Rattus norvegicus: one gene and its partner. The main gene of each other region encodes a partner of the protein of the gene in region 2 in a complex. Links are inferred from orthologs where the notes say so. Each region holds a gene or a part of one and is shown on either strand. Other genes may lie near its edges.

Region 1 (8,521 bases), on a different chromosome or scaffold from region 2:
CCACGCTCAGCGTTATTTACATGCAAAAGAAAGGGCCATATCTCTATAACCAAAGTGCCTCTGTGAGGCAAGGTAGGCTGTATCTGTAGCCACACCCACCTTGGGAAATCCCAACCTCTCCCCGTTGCCCTTGGTTGCCTCTGCCTCCAGGTACCTTCGTAGGCCTCTTCCGTGTACTCTGCATTGATGAACCTGTCCAGGATGTCATTCTCCTCAGCGAAGGCAAGCAGAATCCGCACGATCTCTTTGGTGTTGGGGTTGATGTTGAGCAAAGCTTTCATCAGGCAGGTCTTCCCAGTGTCTGAGGCTGTCAGCTTGTGCATGAGGAAGTCTGCAGACAGAGTCAAGGAAAAATGCAGGGGTAGGAAGAGCAGACAGAACAGTGGAAGCTGCAGCCTCGTACTTTGGAAGTACGCCCTCCAGCCACAAGAGAGGGCCCTCAGGCCTGTACACCAGATCCTCTTTCTTCCTCCAACTCCCTCCCTGGTTCGTTGTTCACAGCTCTCTACTGCCTGTGAAAACCTTATCCAAGTCCTCCTGCTCTCCAAGTTCTGCACCTTCTCTCGCAGGAGAGACAATGTCACCTGCAGCCTGGCTGCCCATGTGGGTGCCAAAATCTCCATCATATCCCTCCTCATGCTCTAAAAGTACATCTTACCACCTCCCCCACCAACCTGCTCCTCTCCTTAGTCCCCACACAGCTATGGACCCCCAAAGCCTTCAATTCCTGTCAATGCCCAAGGAACCCTTCCCCATCCCCTAGGCCTGCTGCAGGGTGCCAACACTCTGAATAGCAACCCTCTCCTGACTTACTCCACACAATAGCCAGACCACGCCCTCTTCCTACCTAAACCCATGACCCGGGACTCCCCATGGCCCTCTAAGTCAAGCACAAGATTGCTATCCCAATATCCATGCCTCATGCTTCAGCCCCACAGGAGATAGAGCAGGGGCCAAGCCAAACCAACCAGGGTCTCCAGGGGCCTGCACTCTAGGACAGGGCTGGGCACTGACCAGACGCATCCAGGCCGCGGCGCCGTCTGCAGAGCTCCTGCAGATCCTGCAGGAGTTCCCGCAGCTCCCTCACGCAGCCCTCTGATACAGCCGCGAAGATGCACTTCTTCAGCCGCTTCTTCTTCTGCCTCTGTTCTTCCTTGGCCAGGTTTGCGCTAAGACCGGAAGACATTGCGAATTCATCCCGTTTGCCTCTGTTCCTACCCTCTTCCCCTCCACCACCGGAGCTACTTAGTTTCCGGGCCACTGCTCCAACCCCTATGCCTCCTATGTCTTTGGCAATGCCCAGATTTGTGTTCCATGTTTGGTCAAGCTCCCCTTCCAATCCATATGCAATCACATCTATCAAAATACACCTGCATACACGTGAGAATGAGCAAGAAGGATGTATGTCTAGTGTAGCCATTACTCTGAAATATGGAACTAAGGGAAGAGAAAGCTCCCTTTCACTGGCATATCTGAACATTTCCATGTATCCCTTCCTGCCCCACACTCTAAATAGACTATTACTGTAATGCAGATGTGTCTCCTTTCACTTATGTAACTTGTGCTGACGTCCTTATTCTTTTGTACATTTTTGAATGTTTTATAATGAACAGAAATCATTTTATAATATACTGATATTTTGCTCTGCTCCACAAAATGTCACAGGCTACAACCATGGCCTGGAGCCTCCAGATGTTTGTCTCAACTCCCCAGAGATGCTGGTTCTTTCTCTATCCTGTACAACCCATCCCTGTGATGTACCCTCTTCTGAGATCAGTGAGGGGAGGGAAAGGGCACACTTACCTTGGACTGTTGGGATTGGATGGGGTCTCTGTCACATCATCCTGAGGAGACTGAGGAGAGTCCATGTCATCACAGTTGCCAGAGAGGCTGGAGATGGAGAAGAGGAAAGAGAGTAAGCCAACTTTAGAAGTGGACAGTGCTACTATGCCACCACCAGGCCTAACCATGTGTTCAGGCCAGCAGCCAGTACTCACCACTGCCGGATGTTGGAGTCCATCGGCTTGGAGAAGATTGGGGGAGAGGTCTTGGTAACAGTGGGGTTGGGCTCAAATCCTTCTATCTCCAGGAAGAAGTGTGCACTGAAGGGACCAATCAAGGCCATTAGAACTGGGGCTGGGCCTGTCTGCCTGTGTCCTGCAGCCTTGCCACAGAGGACCCACTCATGCTGAGCCCTAGCCTTTGTGCCGTGTGTCCTGGCCTAGCCCTCCAGGATGGAGTAGACTCTGGGTTCTTAGCTGAGTTTAAATGGCTCTTGCCTCTAGAAGTACTGTGTGGATGAGCCCAAGAGGATCACTGAGCATGGCCCAGCACCTGAGGGTTTGCGGCTGCCCTCAAGTATACAGTCTTTCAAAGATGGCAACGTGGAAACAGGCCTTCCCATCTCCAACCAGCTGTGCCTAGAACATAAGCCTGGAAGCAGAGAAGCCTTTGAGAGGGGGGCCTCTAGGCTCAAAGCCCCACAGGCCTTCCAGCAGCTTAAGAGGAAGGGCCAGAGTCACCCTGGCTGCTCTTGTTGCCCATTAGCCCCTTTACCACAGCAGGAAATGGACTAGGAAAGCTAGTCTAGGGCAGAGAGCTGGGGGCCTGGACTGGGGATCCTCCACTAAGAAGAAAAACTCAAACCAGTCATGGTGGCATCTGCCCCTAATCTTATAACTCAGAGAGTTGAGTCAAGAAGATCATAGGTTTGAGGCTAGCCTGTGCTACATAGCAGGACTATCTCTAAAATAAAATAAAATAAAATAAATATCATGTGAGAATGGCTATCATGAAGATAACAAGCAACACCAAACGGTGGTAATTGGGACAGACAAGGAGAGAGCACTCACATACTGCTACAGATAACATAAAATAGCACAGTCTCTGTGGGAGTCAATATGGAGGCACCTCAAAACTTTTAAATTAGAACTTCGATATGATCCAGCTCTGGGGTCTGTAGATCTATAGAAAAAAGAATCCAAGCTAGTTCCCTACAAGGACACCTGCACATACACATTTATTACACCACTATTCACAATAGCCAAGTTAAAGAGTCAGCCAAACTGCCCACCCACAGATGAACAAATGAAATACGGTATTTTATAAGATAGTGTTCTCAAAATGGACTTGAAATTTTTTCTTTCTTCTTCTCTTTGTAGGAGGAAGTCACAAGGGTTAGGGATGGACCTTCAAGGACTGAGAGGTGAATATGATCAGGGTGCATTGTGTAGAATTCCCAAATAATCAACAAAAATATGATGCTGGAAAAAATAAATAAATCAAATGACGTCCTATTTAGCCATGAAGAACTGGATCCTGTAACATTTTCAGGAAAATGTACGGAACTGGAGATGAGCCCGCTAAGTGAAATAAGCCAGACTTAGAAACACACAATATAGAGCAGGCCCACAAAGCTACAAGTGGAAGTGCTAGGGATGCGGAAGGATAATGATAACAGGAGAAGGAATAAGGAAGAATAAGAAGGATTCGGGAGGTGGCTCAGCACTTAGAGGACTGGCTGCTCTTCCAGAGGACCCAGGTTCAATCCCCGGCACCCACATGGCTCACAACCATCTGTAACTCTAGTCCTAGGGGGTTCTGTACCTTCCTTCTTCTGGCTTCTGTGGGCACTTTACTCACATAGCGTACAGGCATACATGTAGGTAAAGCCCCCATATACATAATAAATATAAATTCACATATAAATAAATAAGTGTTCAAATTTTATTTTTTAGAAAATAGCAAAAGAGGCTAATGTGATCAGAGAACATTGTGTACATTGTATGAATGCCTTAATGACACCACTACCTTTGTATCCTATATATACAAGCAAAAAAAAAAAAATGAAATAGAAAGGAGGGAGAGGGCCCAGAAAACATTGCCAGTCAGTGGAGGTGGGGGTTGGGGGAGGAGAGACAAGTCAGCTTCCTCTTCAGGCTTCAAGGGTTTGGGAGACACACCCTACCTCAAGAAAAGCCAGACACTCTGCCAGCCACGGCTAGCCACACCCACAGATGCAGACACACATGACCTTGGACACCACAGTCACCCTAGGAGGTGAGTGTTCCCGTGGTGACACTAAGGTGAGGATCAGCTGCGAGTGAACTCAGTTCTGGTACAGCAGCTGCCGTAGCAAAGCTGCAGCCGGCCGTGTAACCCACCCAGAATGCTGCCTGCCTAACGTCAGGCACATAGCCGTCCTAAACACTCTGCCACCTGAGCCTTTCCCAGACCCAGAACAGAGGACGTTCAAAGTGCGTTTCCACCCATCTCAAACTCAGAAAGAAGAGCAGCAGCCTGGGACCAGGGCCCCAGTCGACAGGCAAAGCATTTGAGGCTAAGCATAAGAAGTATCTTCCCCTAGAGCTGACTCCAGGTGGCCATAGAACTGCTTCCTCCTGCCACCCAGGCTAGTAACTGGCACAGCAATGCACATTGCTCTGCTCTGTCCTCAACTTGGTCCTCTGGGCCAGCTTGCAGCCAAATCCACTGCAAGGGTTAGCTACAAGAAGGCTATCCAATCAGGGCAATCAGGAAAATGCTGGTTGGCCTGGGAAGTCCCTCTCCTCACTTCAGGCATAGACAAGGCTAAACTTCATCATTAATCCAGGAAGAAGAGGTAAATGGAGCAGAGGGCACACTGTCCCTCCCCCTCCTGGCTTCTGACCATCAAGAGGAGCCAGGCATGGTGGCTCACACTATGAAGTACTCGGGAAACTGAGGCAGAAAGGTTGTTCAAGGTCAGTCTGGGATACAGGTTAAGAATCTGTTGAGGTGGGCTGGAGAGATGGCTCAGTGGTTAGGAGCACTGACTGCCCTACCAGAGGTCCTGAGTTCAAATCCCAGCAACCACATGGTGGCTCATAACCATCTGTAATGAGATCTGACGCCCTCTTCTGGTGTCTCTGAAGACAGCTACAGTGTACTTACAGATAGTAAATAAATAAGTAAATAAATAAATAGATAAATCTTAAAAAAAAAAAGAATCTGTTGAGGTTAGGGAGAGAGAAAGAGAGAAAGGACAGAGGAAGGGAGGGAAGAAGGAAGGGAGAGAGGGAGGGAGAGATTGAGATTCTGGCCTTAACTAAAAGCAAATACTTCAAAAGAGATGAAAATATCAAAAGAGAGAAAGCAAGTGGAGAAAATCTTTGACTAGGACTCAAAACTTGGGTTTTGATCTGTATTCTCCCTCAGCTGGGTACTCTCCATCTTTAGATCAGGAATCCTCAACTGATGGGAAACTGATTAGGCCAGGCAATTCCCAGCTACCCCAAGATCATGCACTTATGGGCTGTCGAGCTGAAAGGGACATTGGAGGTCAACCAGTCGGATGACCACACCCTGAACTCCCACTGCCCCACTCCACTCCCGCAGCCTGACTCAGGTCCCCAGCACATCTCCTAGTACTCAGCCTCAAGACATCCTGGTTGCTAGATTTTCTCCATGAAGAGCTCAAAACCCACACCCACGGTTTTCTCCAAGAAGGTTTGGTCTTGTCTTCCCGTGAGCCGACTCTGCCGTTGAGGCTGCTTTACTCGCAGATACTTATCAAGTACCCACAGTGTGACAGGCAATGATCCTGTAGCTATGACAAAGGCAACCTCCCTTCTATTCCAAATCTGCTATTCCAGTGGGCTGATCAAAAGTAACTTCAAGGCAAGACCGACAGCCTTGTACAGCACAGACAGGCCATTTCATTCTGCTCTAGACAATACATTGTCATTTAGCTGTAAGTTTCCCAATGGCAGACACTATGATAACACTATCCTTAAGTTTCCAGAATCAACTTTGATTTCCTAACAGTGGTCCTGAAACTCAGAAGACCCCACTGAATAAATGTATGTATTGATAGGTGCCCATAGGGGCCCACAGAGACTGAACCACCAACCAGACAGCCTACATGGGACTGGTGTAGGCCCTCTGCACATATGTAACAGTTATGTAGTATGGTCTTCATGTGGGACTCCTAACAGCAAGAGCAGGTGCTGTCTCTGACTCTGTTGCCTGCCTTTGGGATGTTTTCCCCTTACTGAGCTGCCCCATCTAGAATCAATAGGAGATGTGCCTAGACCTACTACAATTTGAAGCGCCAAGGCTGGTTGATATCCATGGGAGGCTTCCCCTTTTCTGAAGAGAAAGGGAGGAGTAGATATGGAGGAAGGAAGGAGGGGAGGACTGTGATGAGAGGAGGGAAGGGAAATTTCAGTCAGGATGTAAAGTAACTAAGCACATGTATTAATTAAAATTAAAAAATAAAAGAGAGGGGATAGGTGATGAGTGAGAAGTATTCGAGGGGAAGGAATAATGACTGTTCAGACAGAAGAGCAGATGAGCTAAGATGAACAGTAGGTAGATAAAAGGGTCCACAGACAGATGGATAGGTGGACGAACAGACGGACAGATGGATGTGTGGGTGGATGGATGGGTGGGTGGATGGATGGATGGATGGACAGATGGATGGATGGATACATAATAAGCAATCAAGTAGATAAGGTGGAGTGGTCTGTGGATAAGGCCAATACTCAGACAGATCAATGCAACCTAAAACTGTCAATGTTGGAGGTCGAATCCTCCCTGTGACTAGTTGTGCTACCAACTGCTGAAGCTCTCCCACCCCTCCTCAGTTTTACACACAAAGCTGAAGTGGGCTCCTCTGCCATTCCTCCACCAGGTCCCATCTTCTCTTGGATTCCTCCAAGAGATCAGGAGTGGCTCCAAAAGTCATATCATACAAGTATTCAGCACCCAGGTCCAAAGCTAAGGGCCCCAAGGAAGGGAGAAAGCATCATCTCGCCATGCAGTGGCCTGGCTGGTGCTGAGCGACTTCTTCATTGGTTCACACACTCCCTCATTCCCTTGCCTGACCCCTCACTGACTCATTCACTTACTCAAAACTAACAAGATGTCCAGTGTATGTCACTGAGGGGATAAGAAGGGGACAATCACCCCTTCCAGGGATCCCCATCCTCAGAGATGGCAACCAGGGTTGACACATTTGTCCCAGTGACCACATCAATCTCTTCAGGGAGTGTCTGGGTTATAGGCATACAAGAACAACAAAGGCCCCTATAACTGAGAACAGGAATGGGAGGCTTTGTGCTGGGCTAACTGGGATACCATATGCCATGGTTCTGGAAGAGCCCTGAAGCAGAAAGAAGAATAAGAAGTGCCTCTTACACTAGACAGGAAGTCTATGATGGAAAAGGAAAACCAAAGGACAAGATGGGGAGAGAGGAGTGATGACAGCCTGCCTGTAGAAGATCAAATGATTAGGCAAGGGCCTAACTCATGAGGCAGGGCCTGACCCACGCCTGCCCTACTTGACACTACACAACCACATCCTACCCACCATCAAAAGCACATGGTAAGGCCTAGACCGTATGATGTCCTGGCTCCTGCCTGCTGCAGATGTTCATTGTTTATTCCTTTGGTCTAGGCCAAAGGGTGCAACCTGGGCGTGGTTAACACAGGTGCATAGACAGCTGTATATCATTTCTCCACCATTTCTGTCACTGTGAAGAGACAAATACAAGACCAGGAAGCAACCTAGGGGTAGATAGGGGCTGTCTACCATCTGCTTTGACCCAAGAAATGTGCCTGAACTCCCCAAAGCCAGCTCTCTGACACTGTATGTCACCTTGATTAGGGCCCAATAAGGAGACCAATATGATAACTACTCAAAGAATGACATGATGGCTCAGGAAAACTCTCGGGTCCAAAGATCTCTACCCTCTGTAGACCTGTAGACCTTCAGGAGCCTTCAGTTCTCACATTAGTTCACAGCCCTCTGGTGACTGGCATTGCCCTTTGTCTTCACATATAATTTATTCCTTATTTTCTTTATTCTCTTTAGAACCAAGTCTTATACTCAGTTCTGAAGGAAATGCTCAAACCTTCGCATAAAGACCCTCAAAAAGTCATAGGGACCACCACTTCAGGAGATAAAGTCACACCTCATACCATTGTCTGGGCCAGGCAAACACAAAACAACAAACAACAAAAAACCCAGTTTAGCTGGGCCTGATGTAGAAGAAACTGGGTTGTTTGTTTGTTGTCTTGTCTGGGGTTTGAGGGGTTGTTTTGTTTTGGTTTGGTTTGGTTTGGTTTTTTTTTAGCCTGTCCACAATCCTTTCCCTATTATTAAATCTCTGCTGAGAGTAAAAAGGAAGGAGACCCAGCAAAATGTACCATATTGCCTTGGGTCAACTGTGTTTCTGTTGCTTCTTGGATGGGTCATGAAATTCTAGGCTGCTCCCACTCCTATACTGCCTGCCTCGCCTGTACTCATTCCTCATTTTCTCTCCTTAACTCCAAGGTGGGAGCTCTGCCTAAGTGTCCTCTGGGCATGTCTTACTTAGTACTTCATACCTGACCTTGGCTCACTGCTCCTGTCCTTGCTTCTCCTTTGATGGGCTCATGACTGAGGTGACCCACCTTCCTTCTGAGTTACCGCCCCAGGAGAGTGGGTCTCCTGGTTCCTCCATCTCTATTCTTGCCCCCAGGAGATCCTAAGACTAAC
Region 2 (8,215 bases):
TATCCCTTTTACTTCCTTTTGTTTTCTGAATGCTCTGGTTAGGACTTTGAATACTACATTGAATAGGTAGGGTAAGAGTCGGAAGACTTGTCTAGTTCCTGATTTTAATAGGACTGCTTCAATTTTCTCTCCATTTAATATGATGCTGGCTATTGGTTTTCTGTAAATTGCTTTTACTTTGTTTAAGTGTGGGCCTTGAATTACTGATCTTTTCAAGACTTTTCACAGGAAGGGATGTTGAGTTTTGTCAAATGCTTTCTCACCATCTAATGAGAGCATCATGTGGTTTTTATCTTTGAGTTTGTTTCCATAGTGGATTATATTGACGGACTTATATGTATTGAAACATCCCTACATCCCTGTGATGAAGCCTATTTGATCATGATGGATGATGGTTTTGATATGTTCTTGGATTCGGTTTGTGAGAATTTTATTGAGCATTTTTGCATCAATATTCATATGGGAAACTGGTCTGAAATTCTCTTTCTTTCTTGGGTCTTTGTGTGATTTAGGTATAAGCATAATTGTGGCTTCATAGAAGGAATTGGGTAGTGCTCCTTCTGTTTCTATTTTGTGGAATAGTTTGGATAGTATTGGTATGAGGTCTTCTATGAAGGTCTGATAGAATTCTGCACTGAACCCATCTGGACCTGGGCTCTATTTGGTTGGGAGACTTTTAATAGCTTTTAATAGCTCTTATTTCTTTAGGAGTTATGGTACTGTTTAGATACTTTATCTGATCCTGATTTTATTTTGGTATCTCGTATCTGTATAGAAATTGTCCATTTTCTCCTGATTTTCCAGGTTTGCTGAATATAGGCTTTTGTAGTAGGATCTGATGTTTTTTAAAATATCTAAGATTCTGTTGTTATGTCTCCCTTTTCATTTCTGATTTTGTTAATTTGAATACACACACTGTGTCCTCTGGTTAGTCTGGCTAAGGGTTTATCTATCTTGTTGATTTTCTTAAAGAACCAGCTTCTGTTTTTGTTCCTTCTTTGTATAGTCTTTTTGTTTCTAGCTGGTTGATTTCAGCCCTGAATTTGATTATTTCCTGCCTTCTACTCGGTTTGGGTGTATTTGCAACTTTTTGTTCTAGAGCTTTTACGTATGCTGTCAAGCTGCTAATGTATGCTCTCTTCAGTTTCTTTTTTGTGGCACTCAGAGATATGAGTTTTCCTCTTAGCATTGCTCTGATTGTGTCTAATAAGTTAGGGTATGTTATACCTTCATTTTCATTAAATTTTAAAAAGTCTTTATTTTCTTTCTTTATTTCTTCCTTGACCAAGTTACCATTAAGTAGAGCATTGTTCAACTTCCATGTGTATGTTGGGTTTCAGCTGTTTTTATTGTTATTGAAGACCAGCCATAGTCTGTGGTGATCTCATATGATGCATGGGATTATTTCAATCTTCTTGTATCTGTTGAGGGCTGTCTATTGCCCGATTATATGGTCAGTTTTGGAGAAGGTACCATGAGGTGCTGAGAAGAAGGTATATTCTCTTGTTTTAGGAGGAAATGTTCTATAAATATCTGTTAAATCCATTTGGTTCATAACTTCTGTTAGTTTCTCTGTGTTTCTGTTTAGTTTGTTTCCATGATCTCTCCATTGATGAGAGTTGGGTGTTGAAATCTCCCATTATTACTGTGTGAGGTACAGTGTGTCCTTTGAGATTTAGTAAGGTTTCTTTTATAAATGTAGGTGCCCTTGCATTTGGAGCATAGATATTTAGGTTTTAGAGTTCATCTTGAATATGTAGTGTCCTTCCTTATCTTTTTTGACAAATTTTGGTTGAAAGTTGATTTTATTCAATATTAGAATGGCTATTTCATCTTGTTTCTTGGTACCATTTGCTTGGAAAATTGCTTTCCAGGCTTTTCTCTAAAGTAGTGTCTGCCTTTCTCACTGAGGTGTGTTTTCTGTGTGCAGCAAAATTCTGAGTCCACTTTATGTATCCAGTCTGTCTGTCTATCTCTTTATATTGGGGAATTGAGTCCATTGATGTTGAGAGAGTGTAGCGACCAATGTTTGTTGTTTCCTGTTACTTTTCTTATTAGAGGTGAAATTATGATTTTTTGTCTCTCTTCTTTTGGGTTTGTTGCCAGAAGATTATTCTCTTGCTGTTTTTAGGGTGTAGTTTCCTTGCTTTGTTGGAGTTTTCCATCTACTATCCTTTGTAGGGCTGGATTTGTAGAAAAATATTGTGTAAATTTGGTATTGTCGTGGAATATATTGGTTTCTCCATCTATGTTAATTGAGAATTTTGCTGAATATAGTAGCCTGGGCTGGCATTTGTGTTCTCTTAGGGTCTGTATGACATTTGCCCAGGATCTTCTGGCTCTCATAGTTTCTGGTGAGAAGTCTGATGTAATTCTGATAAGTCTGTCTTTATATGTTACTTGATCTTTTTTCCCTTACTGCTTTTTAATATCCCTTCTTTTTTGTGCATTTGGTGTTTTGACTATTATGGAATGGAAGGAATTTCTTTTCTGGTCCAATCTATTTGGAGTTCTGTGGGCTTCTTGCATGTTTATGGGCATCTCTTTCTTATGTTAAGGAAGTTTTCTTCTATAATTTTGTTGAAGATATTTACTAGCCCTTTAAGGTGGTAGTTTTCACTGTTTACTATACCTATTATTGTTAGGTTTGATCTTTTCACTGTTTCCAGGATTTCCTAGATGTTTTGGGTTAGGAACTTTTTGTGTTTCACTTTTTCTTTGGTGGTTGTGTCGATGTTTTCTATGGAATCTTCTGTCCCTGAGATTCTCTCTTCTATCTCTTGTATTCTGTTGTTGATGCTTGCATCACTGACTCTTGATCTCTTTTCTAGGTTTTCTATCTCCAGGGTTGTCTCCCTTTGTGATTTTTTTATTGTTTCTATTTCCATTTTTAAATCCTGGATGGTTTTGTTGAATTCCTTCAACTGTTCGGTTATGTTTTCCTATAATTCTTTAAGGGATTTTTATGTTTCCTCTTTAAGGGCTTCTACTTGTTTACCTGTGTTGTCCTATATTTTTTAAGGCAGTAATTTATATACTTTTTAAAGTTCACTATCATCATAATGAGATTTCATTTTAAATCCAAATCTTGCTTTCCAGTGTGTTTGGATATCCTGTATTTGCTTTGGTGGGAGAAGTGTGGTTTGATGATGTCAAATAGTCTTGATTTCTATTGCTTAGCTTCCTGAACTTGGCTCTCACCATCAGGTTGTCTCTGGTGTTGATTTGTCTACCTGTCTATGACAGGGGTTTGACCTTCCTGTAAACCTGTGTGTCAGCACTCCTGTAGACCTGTTTTCTTTCAGTGGGATCTGGATACAGAGAGCTGTGTGACTGGGTCAGCTTCGGGTATAGGCAGAAATCGGAAGGGTCCTGTCCAAAACTGCTCTTGGGTTTGTGTGTCCTAGGTCCTCCAGGCAGGTCACTTGGAGCAGAAGGATTGGTCTTAACTCTGCTCTCAGGTGTGTTCTGGCTCCTGCAGGTTGGCTTTCAGCTCAGTGTGCAGGCAGAAACCAGAAGTGTCTTGTCCCTGTCTGCTCCTAGGTTCCTGTGTCCAAAGGGCACAGAGGGCACTTGGCACATTCCTCTTGGGTCAGGAGTGTTAGCAGAAGTAATTGTGTCCTCTGAGTTCTCAGGATTGTCTACACTTCTGAGAGTCCATCTCTGTCCCCCACCAATGGTATTCATTTAATGACCAAATACTTAAATGTTTAAATTAGATTTTATTTTGTAAGATTCACAGAGGGAGTAGGGGAAACAGATAATTTCTGTTGCAAGGCAAAAGCATACACAACTCATATATGTGTGGGAATGAAAGTCTCAGAAATGTGAAAAATGGGTAGAGAGAGAAGAATACTTCTGACAATTCATACAGCTGTGATCAAGGACATAATGGAAATGACTGCGGCTTCAAGATCTCCACATGGACATAGAAGACTAGGGAGGTTGTGTTGAATTATTGCCAAAGGTGAATTCATCAGTCTTCTGCAATATCTTCTTAATATCTGTTATTCCTATAATCCAGAAAAAAACCTCAGTGTGAAAGATATAAAACTAATTAAAGTCTTAATCAATATCATATTATTATGAAATACTGCACAAGAGGATAGAATAATTAGAAACACCAATCTTATATAAAATGCCTAAATGTTTAGAAGTTTGAAGAGCTTGAAAAACAAATACTGTCTTCAACTTAATAGACACATTTTTGAGAAATATTGCTTTAATATTTGTTTTCAAAGACATTCAAAATTATTCTTCTCCTAAATGAAAATACGGAACATATACACAGACAGAGAAACACAAAGAGAGAGACATAGACACACAGAAATATTAATGGGGTGGAAGGGATGTTGGGAAACAACATAGTAGTGATTTGACAGAGGAAAGAAAGGGAAAAATAAATTTATGATTGTATTTTAGTTAATTATTCATTAAAATAAAATAAGTCTTAGATAATTGTGACAGAATTAAAAAAAAATTTCCTTGGTGGAAAAATTTTTAGCTACTACAATAATGAAGTAAAAATTTTACCACTTTCAGAAATGTCAAAAATTAAGCTGTAAACTATAAAATGGAGAAAGACAACTCTTGAGGTACTAGATGAATTCTATTGTGTTCCTATTGTAAAACCCAAGAGAAAACACTAATGTTCATCAATTTTCTTCAGCAGCACTTTGGTGTATTATCATCTCTTCTAATCATGTGGATTGTATAAATTGTAAACATCAGGAACAGTATGTAAAGCATTTGTAGTTATTCATCACTCACCACAAACAGAAAATGTGTCATTAATTTCAGTGGTTTAGTACATGTGAATTATCCTCTTTGCAATAATAAGTAATCTGCACATCATTTTATTAAGCAAATAAATCTATTAATCAGCTTTCAATCTTCTTGGCATTATAATGCATCTATCATAGTATTGTATTTTCATACATTCCATATCCTTGATTCCAGATGTTTGTTACACGTAAATATGACAATTTGTTGACAATTTCATGAAAAAATATTTCCCTGATCTATTTCTCTTTTCCTTTCAGGAGTTGGAATTTTCAAATTTGTTTGCTGTTCTTCACTGTATTCATTCATTTTTTGCTGCCAAAGTAGCTTGTTTGGACCCTCTGTTTTTAGGTAATCAGGCTGCTACTTCCGCTGCTGCTGCCAGCTCTGCTTCTACAAGCAAGGCAAAACACATGGCTTGACATGCTGAGCTCTGCCTGACAGCCGGCAGGGCCACTCGCTCCCTACTTCCACCCTAGAGAGACCATGCTGTCACCAAGTCAATCATGGAGTCAGATTGCAATTCCAGCAGCAGAAAGGTCAGGAGGCATCTGCAAATGACCCTGGGAGGGCAGAGAAAATTATTCCTTCCCCCCTGATCTCTATCAGGATACAGCTGTCACTGTGTTTGGTGACAAAGGGATGATTGGTGTAAAGTATGTAAATATTAATAAAAATTGTAAGCTACCTATAAATAAAATACCAATTAAATGACTATTTCTCTATTTTAGATGATTTTCTATGACAAATGCATATTGGGCCAGATCATGAATCAATGCCCTATCATTGTATTATGAGTGTAAAGAAGTTAAAAAAATAAAAGCAAGGCAAGTAGCATGCACATTAAACAGACAAACAAACGAACAACAAAATGAAAACAAATGACCTCAAAGACAGAAGCACCTTAACTTATCCGTGTGAGTTACTTCCTATATTCCCATCCCATGGTTCCATATGAGCACTCCAGCTGTGTTTATCTTATTGTAAAATATTCTGGAGAATTAATAAAGACAATTACATTGGCTTGTGAAAACACCCTAGGAAATGAAACATTTCTTCTTTGGTGAATGTTACTAATATGTTTTATATTAGAAAATGGTATTAATTATGAATGTCAAAAACATTCTACACTTAAACACATTTCTTCTTTTTTTGCTTAATGAGGTTTATGAACAAATCAACATTAATAAATTTAAATGTCCCAAAACTCTTGCAGAAAATAATCAATAAATTCTGTGTAAGAAACAAGTCTTTGTTATAGTTTTCTCTTTAGTCATTAACTAAAAAGTTCCTGAAAGGTACTCTCAGAGGTTATGAAAACTGGTGATATTTTCATTTGAGTTTACTTATGTGTAAATCAAGTGAGATTTGAAAACAAGCATCAAACAAGCATCGTGTTATAAAGTTCCATGGAAAGGGATTGAATAGTGTCCCATGAGGTAGGCCGCTGCAGGTAGCTTGTTTCAGCACTAGGAAGGTAAAACATCAAAAAGGTGTATTGTGGGGTGCGCACTCATAGCCAAGAACTGGAGATTGCTCATCATACAAAGCACGAGGCAGTCTCTGCCCTTTACTAAGGCTCTGTTGGTGTCTGCTTTAAACAACTAGCTGCTTGATCAAAAGTAAACAAATAAAGCCCACTTTTATCGGTACATATTTCAATTGAATATTGTTTGATTCCCCTTAAAATGATCAATTTCTAATAAGTAGGTCAGTATCCCTTCCTTAAATAGGAAACAATCCCACATTAGACTCAAGAGGAAAGCAAAATCTTTTCTTTAAAGGAACACTTACGCCTAAGTGTAAAGTCATCAAATAGTGAACTATTTTCATAATAATTAGAAATACTAATTTATTTTACACTGGATTAAGTGAAATCTCAAAATGAGATATGGAAATGTTAAGTTAGATCTAAAGATGCCTTGCCAACAGAACATGGAAATTTGATAATAGAGGTTTATATATTCTATTTGAACAAGGAATTTCAGTGTATACCCACAATAGTCACTTGGGGAGTACTGCTTACTAGAGCCACCAAACACAAAGGCTATGGTAATTCTGAATTTCACTAAGTTCTGAGTTCCACCTGTCTAACATAGAGGAGAAAGAGTAGAGAGAGACACCCTTGCTATCTTTTTTGCAAGTTCTGCTGCTGCACATGGTGGGTGCTGCCCCCAGGGTGGGTGACCACTGGAATTTAAAACATACAGTCTCCTGTAATCATTCAAAACAACTTCATAGAGCTCAAGAGATGGCTTAGTGGTTAAGAATCTTTACTGCTCTTTCAGGGGACCGGGATTTGATTGCAGAACCCACACAGTGACTCAGAGTCATCCGGGACTGCAATTTCAGGGGTTTTAATGCCCTCCTCAAAACTCAGTAGCACCAGATTCACAGGTGCATATACAAACATGCAGGTGAAACATCGCCTAAAAAATCTAAAAGTAGATTTTACAAAGCTCTATTTAAGCATACAAACCCTTTTTTGCTGTTGTTGTTATATTAACTATTCTATCAGTGCCCCTGTTGTAAAAACCAGCTGAACTGTGAGATTAGATCTGAGTATAGAACTTGTACCCTATGCGTGTTTGTAGACATATGAATATATGTATAGAGACAAGTACAAAATGTTGAGCTTAATTATACTGAAAGAAAATGTTTCACATGCATATATAGCTATATATGTATTGAGCTATAAAGTGTTGGTTGAATTAAAACCTACTAGAACAACCTTATTTTTCTTACTTTTTATAATATTGGTTAAAATATCACCCAAGCTGAAATTTCTATTTAACATGATTAGTATAATAGGTACCAATTAGGAAAATACTTTTCTGGTTTTCATACATTTACCAGTTAGTATTTAATGCTTTCTTTATAGTGTAATTAAGCACTGTGAGATGCTATGACTTTGGCTACTTAAATGAGAAAACTGTAGAAATTCATGAAAATACAGAGTTCAACTTCACAGTAAGTTAGGTTAAGATATAGATTTTTTTTTCTAACAATCCCAAGTTTGAGTATTAAGCAAACATGAGAATGCTTAATTATGTGTTAACCCCTTCAGTGCCTTTTTGGATGTGTATGCACATACGTGTGTGTGTGTGTGTGTGTGTGTGTGTGTGTGTGTGTGTGTGTGTGTGTGTGCCTGTGTAGATCATTAAAGGGCTTATTATTGTGTACACACTGCAAGCTTAAAGGAAAATGTAGTTAAGTGTGTTAGAGAGAGGAGTTTAAAACAGCTAAGATGAGAATGTCTTTTCTGTGGTAAACAAAAAAATTATCTGAAATAAAGTGCATCAAAGCAGGAGGACTTGAGTTTGTTATAGGTTAACTCCAAAATTACCTTAATAGATGATTTAAATATAACAAATACCCAATGCTTCCTATCTAATTCTATTTTATAGAGCAGAATGTGCCAGTAATTTCTTAC

Evidence for each region.
Region 1: the proteins of Sntg1 (region 2) and Trpv3 are in contact, whole or in part, in a crystal structure (PDB 7QQN), measured with the Homo sapiens proteins. The link is inferred for Rattus norvegicus from reciprocal best matches to the Homo sapiens genes SNTG1 and TRPV3. Residues at the interface, in NP_001274742.1 of Homo sapiens: Arg62, Gly66, Gly67, Phe68, Gly69, Leu70, Ser71, Ile72, Lys73, Gly74, His78, Ser85, Lys86, His118, Glu119, Val122, Arg126; in NP_659505.1 of Homo sapiens: Pro786, Glu787, Thr788, Ser789, Val790.

Annotation. Positions count from the first base shown.
Region 1 is NC_086028.1:58,385,395-58,393,915, reverse strand, and holds part of Trpv3 (transient receptor potential cation channel subfamily V member 3), read right to left. Parts: intron 3,713-8,521; exon of another isoform or gene 3,210-3,712; coding exon of another isoform or gene 3,162-3,209; intron 2,103-3,161; coding exon 1,998-2,102; intron 1,891-1,997; coding exon 1,804-1,890; exon of another isoform or gene 1,487-1,803; coding exon of another isoform or gene 1,170-1,486; coding exon 1,015-1,169; intron 332-1,014; coding exon 155-331; intron 1-154. UniProt on the Homo sapiens protein: Non-selective calcium permeant cation channel. It is activated by innocuous (warm) temperatures and shows an increased response at noxious temperatures greater than 39 degrees Celsius. Activation exhibits an outward rectification.
Region 2 is NC_086023.1:15,574,497-15,582,711, forward strand, and holds part of Sntg1 (gamma-1-syntrophin), read left to right. Parts: intron 1-5,042; coding exon 5,043-5,204; 3' UTR 5,205-8,215. UniProt on the Homo sapiens protein: Adapter protein that binds to and probably organizes the subcellular localization of a variety of proteins. May link various receptors to the actin cytoskeleton and the dystrophin glycoprotein complex.